3 linked regions of the Oryzias latipes genome follow. The protein of the gene in region 1 binds, or shares a complex with, the protein of each later gene. Links are inferred from orthologs where the notes say so. Each region holds a gene or a part of one and is shown in the gene's direction. Other genes may lie near its edges.

Evidence for each region.
Region 2: mcm2 (region 1) and gins4 share a complex: the UniProt entries of both Homo sapiens proteins name them as parts of the CMG helicase complex. The link is inferred for Oryzias latipes from reciprocal best matches to the Homo sapiens genes MCM2 and GINS4.
Region 3: the proteins of mcm2 (region 1) and dnajc9 are in contact, whole or in part, in a crystal structure (PDB 7CJ0), measured with the Homo sapiens proteins. The link is inferred for Oryzias latipes from reciprocal best matches to the Homo sapiens genes MCM2 and DNAJC9. Residues at the interface, in NP_004517.2 of Homo sapiens: Glu65, Glu66, Glu67, Asp68, Glu104; in NP_056005.1 of Homo sapiens: Lys185, Arg189, Arg192, Lys244.

The regions. Positions count from the first base shown.
Region 1 is NC_019863.2:6,784,014-6,788,280, forward strand, and holds the start of mcm2 (DNA replication licensing factor MCM2), read left to right. Parts: upstream 1-1,454; 5' UTR 1,455-1,568; coding exon 1,569-1,574; intron 1,575-3,252; coding exon 3,253-3,440; intron 3,441-3,522; coding exon 3,523-3,695; intron 3,696-3,848; coding exon 3,849-3,979; intron 3,980-4,065; coding exon 4,066-4,204; intron 4,205-4,267. UniProt on the Homo sapiens protein: Acts as a component of the MCM2-7 complex (MCM complex) which is the replicative helicase essential for 'once per cell cycle' DNA replication initiation and elongation in eukaryotic cells.
Region 2 is NC_019867.2:17,431,798-17,435,823, reverse strand, and holds gins4 (DNA replication complex GINS protein SLD5), read left to right. Parts: upstream 1-1,216; 5' UTR 1,217-1,497; coding exon 1,498-1,596; intron 1,597-1,708; coding exon 1,709-1,795; intron 1,796-2,480; coding exon 2,481-2,594; intron 2,595-2,683; coding exon 2,684-2,781; intron 2,782-2,865; coding exon 2,866-2,954; intron 2,955-3,035; coding exon 3,036-3,126; intron 3,127-3,245; coding exon 3,246-3,342; 3' UTR 3,343-3,350; intron 3,351-3,590; 3' UTR 3,591-4,000; downstream 4,001-4,026. UniProt on the Homo sapiens protein: Required for correct functioning of the GINS complex, a complex that plays an essential role in the initiation of DNA replication, and progression of DNA replication forks.
Region 3 is NC_019873.2:17,922,314-17,926,076, forward strand, and holds dnajc9 (dnaJ homolog subfamily C member 9), read left to right. Parts: upstream 1-1,259; 5' UTR 1,260-1,471; coding exon 1,472-1,645; intron 1,646-2,028; coding exon 2,029-2,169; intron 2,170-2,318; coding exon 2,319-2,573; intron 2,574-2,646; coding exon 2,647-2,733; intron 2,734-2,815; coding exon 2,816-2,926; 3' UTR 2,927-3,260; downstream 3,261-3,763. Other genes in the region: protein FAM149B1, read right to left, coding at 3,712-3,763.

The DNA.
Region 1 (4,267 bases):
TTAAAACTGTCTGTGTTAGTGGAGTTAATAAAGTGTCAGTAGGTGGCGCTGTATCCTTGTACACTGGAAATTAAACTCTCATAGAATAAATCAGAAGAAGAAAACGTTCGTAGTCTTTTGCAGGATCGTGCTGTCCTGATCCTTAACAAATTTTTTTATTTCATTTTTTTTTGCCAGCATTGAATTCAACATTAAAGGGCCTATATCAAGCCTTTCAGAGTAAAATATATCCATATATGTAAGAGACAATGCCCGACAAAGTGTTCACAATCAAAAATTATCCGATTGCTTGATTAGTTGCTTTCGTAAAGTTGTGTAAGTGTCGTTGTATTCGGGCATGCGTGGACGGATACAGTAGCCAATTCAGATTAGATAGCTACAATAGGCATGTTTGAGATCACCCAGACCGACACAGCAGTGCGCAGATCGACTGGTGTGCAGTGCATGTTGGGTAGTTTTTGCTTTGACGTCACATGTCTGTCATCATAAAAACATTGCAAAAAATGGGCGGGTGCAAGGCACCAAGGCGATTGCAGTAGGGACTTTTTCCCTTGTCGCCCGCAGAATCCACAAAAACTAAATGTGTTGTGGGAAACGGTGTCCCGCCGGAACGCTCACCAACACTCAGCAAGGGACTCCTCTGCTGCATCCGGAGACTTTCAGATTCTGATAAACACCCTTAAGAAAGGAGTAAACAACAGTCACACAGGAATATTAGAAATAAACTTAAGTTGATTGAAAAAAAAATAAAAAAATATATCAACTTAAGTTGAAAGAAACATTTGTACTTCATCAAATGACCTTAAATAATAGATCCCGAATAAATCACCTTTTTTAAAAATACGTTTCATGGTTTCATTTGATGTATACTCATTAGTCAGATCTCTTTATTGTTACACAAATTCAAATGTGAATTTAGATGGATTTGTTTGTATGTGTCAGTCCTCCATTAAGTTGTTGCTTTTACATGTACAATATCACAAATCACAAGACATTTTGTCATTTTTCCGCAATAACCCCTACATTTTCGCTCATAAGTAATAAAGCCTATAAAGTCTAACAAGAATTCACGGTTAATCAGTGTATCACATAGTTACAGGTCTCATAAGGAATTGACTGGCAGTCATTTGATCACAGCTGTTAGTTTCCAGCCTCCCTGTGAACTTCCGGTTCTCGTTGTCTCCCTGCAGGCCGCAGCTCCTCATCTCAGACGCCTTTCCCGCCCCCGCCTGCATCTGCCTGGTCTCAGGCGTGACGCCTGACGGTCAAAAGGCCTCTACGTCATCAACACCGTCCAAACGAGAGGTCTGTTTGTTTTGAACACCATCAGGACCTCATGCGCACGCGCGGTCGCAACTGCTTTCAGTGAGTTCTGTTCTAAAACGAACGCATCCACGTTGTCTCCGAACCCCGCCCCTGTTCAAATGATCTACCAATGGGAAGCTGTCGATGTATTTCTTCGTACATATTCATGACTTTTCCCGGGCTTTTGGGTGTCACGTGATCCCTTTCGCGCGAAAAGTGACTCGTGTCCTGTAGCAGACAGAGGCAGCAGCAGCAGCAGCATCATGGCGGTGAGTAGAAACTCGTTCAGACTTTTACAGGTTTGGGTTCTGATTTTTCAGGAACTGAACCAGACCCACATTCAGACCCAGTCAACGCGCTGCTTTGGGGTTTTAACGGTTGTTCGCTCGTTCCGGAGCCGCCGTGACCACAATCATGGCGGAACCGAGTCGTCACGGATTTACTCTGCGAGTTCTGTTTGTTTGGTTAAAGAAAGAGGCAGAGAACATATTCAATGGATGTGTTTGCGGCTGCGCGTGTGTACTACTAGTTCTTATTCTCTAACTCATAAATGTACAGTTAGTGTGTAACTGTGTTCTTCTTGTATTCACTACATGTACAGTCGCACACCACAAACCTACGAACACAAAACACAGTTTACACACGCACAACGTGAAACTACAAGTACACACAGTTACACATAAAATGTATGAGAAGTACCACCATTAATGAAGAAGTCAGTCTATTTTCTCTCATAAGAGCACCGCGTGGCCACCGGTGGCATGCCGGGAAAATAAAATAAAAAATCGCTACATTAGGCCAATCGTGACGTCAGTCTACCGGTTCTTGAGCTGCAGAAAGATCCCGAAGCTGTGAGCAGCTTTTGTGAGCCTGCAGCTTCCGAACAAACATCAGGTTTAGCTTTGACCAGTGGCGGACTTAGCATTTTGGGGGCCCTGGGCGAACAATAACATGGGGCCTTTTGCAGCCATTTGTTTTTAAGTCCCCACCTGGGGTTAAACGTTCTTGATATAACTTCTTCACAGGCCCACTTTTGGAGAATATCAATGAAAAAAATGTAAATGTTTTGAGAAGCAGCAGTTTGAATCAAAATTAAATGGTAAAGACATTTTATTAACATTCTTTTTAAGTTAAAAAACTGAATTTATTTAATGCATTAATTGGTTCCTCACTCAGTAGGAAAAGAATCAAAATACTTAAATGATGAAGCAAAACGGTGATGTTAAAAAAAACCACAAATAAATGTTCTTAATATTGCAGTTTTCTGCTCTTCCCTTTTGCTTTTCTTCTCTTTCTGTTGCAGTAAAAGTGGCTTTATGAAGTTCTCCAATTATAACTGACTTATTTTTGAACTTGGAAAAAAATACAAGAGGTATTATTTGTATTTTGTCTTGAACAATTCAGAAAAAACAAAATATAAAGAATACATCAGGTCCTGAGTGCTTAAATTCAACACATAAAACATTAGGAACGCCTTTTTAAGCAATACAAAAATATTGACCAGAACAAAATGTAATCCATAATCCACATTGCTAAACCTTATTCCACCGTTTACTGTCACATGCGATCAGCCCTCCACGATAACGAACACCTCGTCAGGCTTGATCCCTAACCTCATAGATGTGGGCTTGTTTGCATTAGTTTAGCAAAGAACTACAAAGTCGCACATTGACGGCGTCACAGCCTCGCCGCGCCACTTATACAGACACGCACTGGAGGTGATGGGAGAAGCGTTTTCAGCTGACTTCAAATAAAACATTCAAGCAAGTAAACAGACCTTTTATGTCACGACAAAGACGATAAAAAAAAGGAATTTGCTACTCTGTAATAAAGTATTCATGGTTGACACGATCATTTGAGCTTTATCTTTAGCACCCCCCCCCCCCCCCCCCCCCTGTGTAATCAGATTTCTTCTACTGCAGACTTATCAAACAGTCTTCTCCTCAGGATTCCTCCGAGTCATTCCATGGAGTCACCAGCCCAAATCCAGGTCCCAGGAGAGGAGACCCAACATCCAGCCCGGGGCGAGACCTACCCCCTTTTGAGGATGAGTCTGAGGGGTTGCTGGGGGGCACACCCCTGCCAGGAGAGGAGGAGGATGAAGGGGAAGAGCTGATCGGTGATGGGATGGAGAGGTAAGAGTCCAGATTTGAACCCCTCCACAGATGTTTGTTCCTTCAGTATGAAGGGCTCTGAAGTCCTTCCTCTGCTCTCCAGGGATTATCGGGCCATCCCAGAGCTGGATCGGTACGAGGCAGAGGGCTTGGACCTGGATGATGAAGACCTGTCAGAACTGTCGCCTGGAGCCCGAGCTGCAGCTGAGGAGGAGATGAGGAGGAGAGACCGAGAGCAGGGAGTCAGTGGACGGCTGAGGAGAGGCCTGCTGTACGGTGAGGAGAACGTTTTCCTGTGTGGGGGCTCGGGTTCCTGTTTTGAAGCTGAAGGCGGGGATTTCTAACCAAAGTTGCAGTGAGGAGCCTGCTCATGAATGTCTCTCCATAGACGGCAGAAGTGTGTGACAGGAGGCTTCTGTTGGTTTTCAGACAGTGAAGATGAGGATGATGAGCGCCCCGCTGCTCGCCGTCGTCGGCTGGCCGAGCGTGCGGCCGAAGGCATCGTCGACGGGGAAGAAGAGGACATGATTGAGAGCATAGAGAACCTGGAGGACATGAAGGTTTGTCACACAAACTTGAAGGTGTTTTCTGACTCAACAGTGGAAGTCTGACCCCCCCCCCCCCCCCCCCCCCCCCCTCCTTGCAGGGCCACACCGTCAGGGAGTGGGTCTCCATGCCAGCCCCACGACTCGAAATCTACAACCGCTTCAAGAACTTCCTACGGACCCACGTGGATGAAAACGGCCACAATGTCTTCAAGGAAAAGATTAGTGACATGTGCAAAGGTAGCTCCGCCCCTCTGGGATCAAACCTATGGGTGATCAACTCCACAATGACCCTCCCCCCCG
Region 2 (4,026 bases), on another chromosome or scaffold:
CAGCAGCAGCAGCAGCAGCAGCAGCAGCAGCAGCAGCAGCAGCAGCAGCAGCAGCAGCAGCAGCAGCAGCAATGGTTCCCTCAGCACTGGTAACTCAAAACAAAACATCAAATTAATGAAGCAAATTATCATAAAGTAAACTGAAACATGTTAATAAATTTTATGTTCAAACATGTGTTTGGGTTATGTTTGAAAAAAGAAAACTAAAAGTATATGCACAAAAAATAAAGTGAACAGATATGGTGATGTGGTGCAGGAGATTACTGCCCTGATGGGGTGGCAGCGTAGGCAGCCATCACACTGCCAAATAGTGTGATGAAGGATTTGGTAGTTTTTATCTAAACTTTATCTGCCTGACTGCACTGTTCCAACTCTGAAGTTAGACCGCAGAGGGATGTTTAGCAGCTCATCATAGCTGTTTGTTGTACATTTGGTTCAAACATGGGCAAACTTCAGTCTCGGGGACCGCATTCCTGCATGTTTTCCAACATACCCTGCTCCGGCATGTTCTATTTGGCTGAACACACCTGAACCAGGTAATCGGTCTTGGATAGGGGCTTGGATACGTCGAAATCATACAAACGCACCGGCCCTCAAACCCCTGAAGTTTCGGGTGTTCCCCCCCCTTCACGGTGACACGCTCCAGCAACCCAATAACCCAGAAAGGGATAAAGCGGGTTAAGAAAATGGATGAATGAATTAGTCTATCAAAAATACAGAAATGTTGAGACTCTTACATTTCATCAGGGTTTCTAAATTCTTTGGGTTATAGTTAAAAAAAATTTATGCCTATTATTATTTTTATTGTATGTATTTATTTTGCTATCATTCCAACTTGTCTGATATTCAAATTTTATAAACAGTCTTTATGAATATTGAGAAACAAGGGATCAGCTGAGTGCAATCTGGGCCATTCTTTAAAATGTAAAGATCTGCTACACTGTAGATAATGCACGGGCCTATAAAATGTTCTAGTCTGCATAATTGCAATGAACGTGTTCTGCTTACACAATTACGAAAACACAATTTAAACAAAAAGTCAAGATGAGTTGGTTTAATTGCCAGTTTTTACTATTTCAGGCTTCTTTTTTTTCCATCACGTTGAATAATCCCGGTAACTGCGGTTGCGGATGTGGCAAAAGAAAAACCTTAAGAACTATTCCTAACTTTTTTCTCTCTCTTTTTGTTTATTTATTAATAATTTATTTGCTTTAAGAGTTTTCCGAAGCATTTGGCCAATGACAGACGATGAGAATGCCTGGCATACTAAACTCAGGGTGAACAAACCCACGAACAATTCAATCTCGCGAGAGCACCACATTTGGCGCGAATACATAAAGAGTTGTCTTTGTACACAGACGCTGGGGTTGCAGTTGCGTTTTAAAATAGTACTTTTTATTGAATCGATAGAATCTTTGAGTGGCTTCAAATGAGCCAATTAGAATACGAAGTAGCAAAACATATGAGGTAATTTAGTCCCTTTAAAAGAACAAAACGATGTCGGAAGCCGCGTTTGATGACAGCGAGATCAACCAAGAAGATGACAGCCAGGAGGACGTTATGACTCCAGCAGAGCTGATCGCCAAACTGGAAGAGGTGAGATCGAACTATTAGGACCTTAAACCTTTTCTTGCGTCTCAAAGCAATGATTGCAACCATCCTGTGTTAGCCCCAGCTTCACTGCTGCGCTCTTCTGGTTGAGTCACAGGCTTGGCTGAATGAGAAGTTCTCCCCCGAGCTGCAGGAGAACAAATCCGAAGTGGTGGAATGTGTGATGGAGCAGCTCACTCATATGGTAACCACGAACAGTCTGCTACTTTTGATGCTCATCACCATCAGTTTTGATTGACAGATTCACTTGAAGCCACAACTTACTGGTTAGTTAACAGCATTCTCGAAACTCAGGAGTTGTTGAAATGAGGTTTATGTGGATTGTTACTAATAATGTAAATGCTATTAAGGTTTCTTAGATGACTGCAAATCAGTTTCTAAATCAGGTCATAGAGTACGTAATTAACAAAATAATTGCCTTCCTTGTTAAAGGGTCACTTTGTATCCCATCGATTTGATCGATTGTAAAACCGTTTTAATCACAATCATGTGCTTTTTTTTTATCCAAAATTCGAAAACCTTTTAGAACATAGTTTCTGCAGAGCAGCAGTAGTTCATTAGAAAATCCCCTCTGAGTTGTGGTGCAGAGCAACCCCGCCCCCCTTCCCCTCTCCATTCCTGATAGCTCAGGTGCTTGTGACCTGCCCAGCGTTATTTTTTTACGTAACGTACTTTTGTCATTTATCGTTTGCTCCTGATTCAAAATGATTGATGATGACTAAAGTAATTTTTATTTGAACTTTCTTTATAGATGTCCTTCATGATGAGAAAAATGCCACTAATTGTATCATTGGTGCATTTCTTTTATAGTAAATGTGTACTTTTCCCATCGTTGTGAGTAAAGTGCTACTCAACTTCTCTGCCAACAGGAGTCCAACTTGCAGCGAGTGAAGAAAGGCGACACCAAGGCCAGCATACATCGCATGGAAGTGGACCGGATCCGCTTTGTCCTCACCAGCTACCTGCGCTCCCGGCTGCAGAAAGTCAGTCAGGTGGAAGTTGTACAGTAAAGCTCCAATCTTGCTCTATAAATATAAAGACAAAGCTTCCTTTCTGTGTGCTGTCTGTTTAGATTGAAAAGTTTTTCCCTCATGTCCTGGAGAGGGAAAAGTCTCGAGCTGATGGGGAGCCATCCCTGCTTTCCCCCGAGGAGTTTGCATTTGCCAAAGAGTGCGTTTGAGTTCAACAGACATTTTTATACCGTTTTGAACAAAACAATTTGCATGGATGAAAACGTTCAGATATTTTTTTCAGGTATTATGACAACACAGAAGCGTACCTGAAAGCGGTAGCGCTGAAGCGGATGCCACCTAACCTACAGAGCATTGACATGCTCAAAGCAGGTATCTTGCCTTTGTTTTTTTCATTGTTTAGTATTGCGATCACTTTTGTGACAAATGAAATGTTCTCTTGTGCAACTGCAGTTCCGGAGCCCTGCTTAGACTCGTTTGTGTTTCTGCGAGTCAAAGAGAAACAAGAAAATATCTTGATTGAGCCTGAAACAGATGATCAAAGGTACCAAACAACTTTTAATTTACAAGATAATGAGATGATTTCTACCATCCCACCAGCAGGTGGCGAAGTTCTTTTCCGAATGCAAACCAAGTGGTAACTTTCTGTGACTCACTTGCCAGAGAGTATGTTGTGGATCTGGAAGAGGGCTCGCAGCACTTGATGCGGTATCGCACCATCGCGCCGCTCATCTCAAATGGGGCCGTGAAGCTGATCTGAAGACTCAAGTAAGATGGTCTCAGTCTTGACTCGTCTTTCTCGATGGCTTCCAACTCTCACACTGACAGCTGCTGGTCTTACATAAGCTGCTGTTGGACAGTGATGTTTATTCTAAGCTCAAATCATCTGTTTATGTTTACACTACCTGGCAAAAAAATCAGTGTTTAAAGTGTTATAAACTCTGTATTTTACATATTTACAGAGAAACTCGCAATGTCATTGAACTAACAGTGATTTTTGTGTTGCAGAATTGTCCTCCAGTGAGAGTTTCCACTCCTGGGAAGTTTTTTTTTGTTTTTTTCCCGTTTATATTGTTCTTTTGAACTGTTGTAAATACAGGTGGAAAACGTTTTCTTTCTAAATTTAATAAATGACAGACATGTGACCCAAATACTGATGTTTTCAACATATTTATGTTGATTTGCTGTATTGTATATTTTTCTATTTTTTTTTCCAACTGTGGAATAATATTATAATTTGTTTTATTAGCAATTTGTCATCCCTGCAAAGAAAAATAACTCATTAGATGGCTTTTTAATGCAGCACTATTCATTGGTTTATTGTATATATTTGTATATGTAAATGTTTTTCCTAAAAGCTTTTGTTTGACATTATTGTGCATTTTCATTATAAAAAAATAAATCAAAGTTTAATAGCTTGTGTGCATCTTACTCCATCTTCCAC
Region 3 (3,763 bases), on another chromosome or scaffold:
GTGTCGATACCAAGGTGAAGTATTGATATTGTTTGCTATTATTAACATACATGTTCTATATTTGATTCATGTTCTGTTTAGATTGGAATTAGTTCATATTTGTATGGTGGTGCAGTGGTGCTTGTCCCTCACAGCAAGCAGGCCCCCGCTTCACATCCTGGCTGGAGGACCTGAAACAGAAAACCAATGGGGGACATTTCTGTGTGGAGTTTGCATGTTCTTCCCGTGCATGCATGGGTTTTCTACCGGGAGCCCGGCTTGCTCCCACTTTCATAGGTTAATTGGTTACTTTAAATTGCCCCTATAGGTGTGAATGTGAATGTGAGTGTCCATGGGTGTGTGATTTGTGGCCCTGCGACAGACCTGTCCAGGATGTCCCCTGCCTTTGCCCATAAGTGGCAGGGATAGGCTCCGTCAGGCCCGTGACAAGGAGACAAAACGGGTTTAGAAGCTGAATTAATGAACATTTTTCTTTCACAGAAAGTCTATGTCCTGTGTTTTATTATACTTAACAAAAAATTGAGGTTTTCCAAAATTATTCTAAAATCAAAAATTTTAAGAAGAAAGTATAATATTAGTATTGGTAATCCTAGCGGTATCGGCGATTCTAGTCCTGTAATAACTTGGTATCAGTTTGATAACCAAATTCCCAGTATCACCCACCCCTATATTGCAAACCCAGTTCAAAAGTAAATGCTAAGTAAAAGTTTTTCTCATCAGATTGACCATTTAGCTGAAAAAATATAACTCATTAATAGAAACATTGGTGGTAATAAGACTCAAACACAAATTGTAGCATCTTCAATAAATTTAACAAAACTGCTGTTAAAGTGCAATGGGGGAAAAAAACTAAATAAAATGTACAAACTTGCATATAGGATACCGCAAAAATAAATAAACATAGCAACAATAATAATAATAATAATAATAATAATAATAATAATAATAATTGTTATTATTATTATTGTTGTTGTTGTTTGTTCTGATGTGTGATATATAGTACGTTTTAAAAGAGAAACCTGTTTTAGTTCTCTCTTACTTCAAATCTTATTCGTTTTTATTGGTAAAATGTTAAAATATGTAAAGTTTGGTGAGCTGAATCTGTTGGTATTTGGTTGTTTTGTTGTATGTCGAGGGCCCCCTTGAAAACGAGATGACACATTTCAAGGGGCTTATCCTACAAAACAAATAAATTGATATTGAAATTGAAAACACCGTTCAGTAGCACGTGCGAACGTCTTCGCCAATAGGATTGTGCGTTAGATGATGACGCAAGAACGTAGTGTCACGTAAAGCGCAAGCGGCAGGCCAGGGCGCCAAACTAACATGATCGAGAAAAGTACCGTGGAGGGCAGATTTCTTTAACTATACGCGAACCTAATCTAATATCAACACTGTCATTGCGCTTTACGTCCTCAGTCGTTCACTTTTAACTTATTTTACTCGTATTTCATTAAACTAGACGGTCGCAATGGGTTTGCTCGAGCGGTGCCAGGAACTCTTTAGTAGCACAAATTTGTATGAAGTGCTGGGAGTAAGCAAAGAAGCATCCGAAGCGGAGATAAGGAGGAGCTACTATAAAGTGTCGCTGAAAGTGCACCCCGACAGAGCCCCCGAAGACCCGCAGGCGACGGAGAAATTCCAGGTTAGCTCGTTTTTTTTCTTTTCTTTGTTAGCCTTCAAACGACAATAGAAAAATAAGCTAGGTATCGATGTTAGCTAACGAAGCTAACATACCATCTAAGCTGAAACATGGAAGATGTTGACAGAGTTTGCAGCGCAAAACCAAACGCGAGTCTTTTCTTACCTATTTAGAGGTCTAATGTTTCTAGACACGTTTTGTTACTTAAAATTATTTAACAGAAATGTTCCATATTTCTTTTCAGTTACTATGTTTGCTCAGTAATTATCACTTATGCTAATGTTATGTCAGTAATTTAACAATGTTCCTAGCATAACGGTATCTCTGTGATAGATGTTGCTTTAAAGTAAAACACATTAAAATAGTTTTCGTGTAATCTGTTGCAGGTGTTGGGAAAACTGTACACAGTGCTGACAGATCGGGAGCAGAGGGCTGTTTATGATGAGCAAGGAGTAGTTGATGAAGAATCAGATGTCCTTCGTCAGGACCGTTGCTGGGAAGACTATTGGAGATTGCTCTTTCCTAAGGTACTGGAGCACTTTGACATTTATGTCCACATAAACAAGAGCTTGTCTTATTATTGCAGGATGAAGTTAGATATAAATGAGAAAAATGCACGATGCAACTACAGGAGTCTGGTATTTTCACCCCATCTTGACTTGATTTTGTCTTGTAGGTGACAGTGCAGGACATCCTAGAATTCGAAAAGAAATACAAAGGCTCAGATGAGGAGCGGGATGACGTGATCCGGCTTTACGTGCAGCACGAAGGGGACTTGGATGAGATCATGGCGTCAGCTCTGTGCTGCTCGCAGGAAGATGAGCCCAGACTGTGCGGCATCATCGAAGCCGCCATCAAGAGTGGAGAGGTTGAAGCCTTCCCCTCGTTTACCCAAGAGAGTGACAAGAAGAAGAGGGCTCGTCGGAAGAGGGTGAGATTTTAAACCTGTGGCGGCTTGAAATCATTAACTGGATTCTGTCATTTTCATTGTAATGATCTTTTAGGCTGACAGAGAAAAAGAAGAAGCAGAAGAAATGCAAAAAAAGATGGGGCTCAGTGACAAAGATGACAGTCTCGTCATGATGCTTAAGGTGAGCTTCATTAGCATGTGTAAATCTTAGAGCTGCTACTATTTTTTCCCCTCAGTATAACTTATTTTTTTCTTTTTTTCAGCAAAGACAGCAGTCCAGGGAGAAGAATTTTAATAGTTTCCTGTCAGACCTGGAAGCAAAATATTCTAAAAAGAGTTCAAAACCCCAAAAGGGAAAAAAAGGAAAGAAATAAATGTCAGCCTCGTTCCTTTTTTAAGGACTTCCAAATTAAGATTTTTGTCAGCGTTGGGCCTTTTTTGTTTAAAGTGAAATAAAAAAATGTAAATGCTTCCTGTATTTCATGTAATTTGTATTTGTTATGTTGCTAATAAATGGATCATTCTACAGCAGATTGCATAAACCTTTATTTTGTAAAAATCAGATTAAAAGACAATGCAAAGTGGAAAACTGCCTTTTGAAGCTATAGATTGTCTGATTCAATTGAATTTCTAACTCATTACATGATCCAGTTGGATGATTTTTGTTTTGTTTACCAAAAAAGTACAATAAAAGACTGTACAGGCAAATGATTTCCAAAGCATTATTTACACTTCCTACATTGTAGGTGCATTTGAGCAGAATTGACAGCAGCTTTTACGTCCCTATTTGAAGAAAATCGGACATTCCTCTTTTTTCGGGGAAAGTTTATGAGCTGTTCTGCACAGATGGGAGGCTGGATACCAACCTCAGATATAGCATCAAATAAGCGTTTGCATTTTATTTTTGTTTTTTAATTTATAGCTGTTGGAGGGAAGCCATTCCCTGCATAGTTAAATACTGCTGGAAGGACTGTACAGAGAATGCATATAGTTTAACATGTTCACCAAAGAAAGATTATATTCACACTTCATTTTTGAAAAATATAGGCCTCTAGACAAAAGTTGAGCCGATCATTGCTAAGTAAAAAAGAAAACGTTTTTCTTTTTTGTCTTAGGAAAAGCATCTTAGAGTGCTGTGGAAAGACAGACGGATGGCAGATCAGAGGCCGGGTCTGCTGGCTCTGGATGAGATGCCTCCTCGGCTGTGGGGC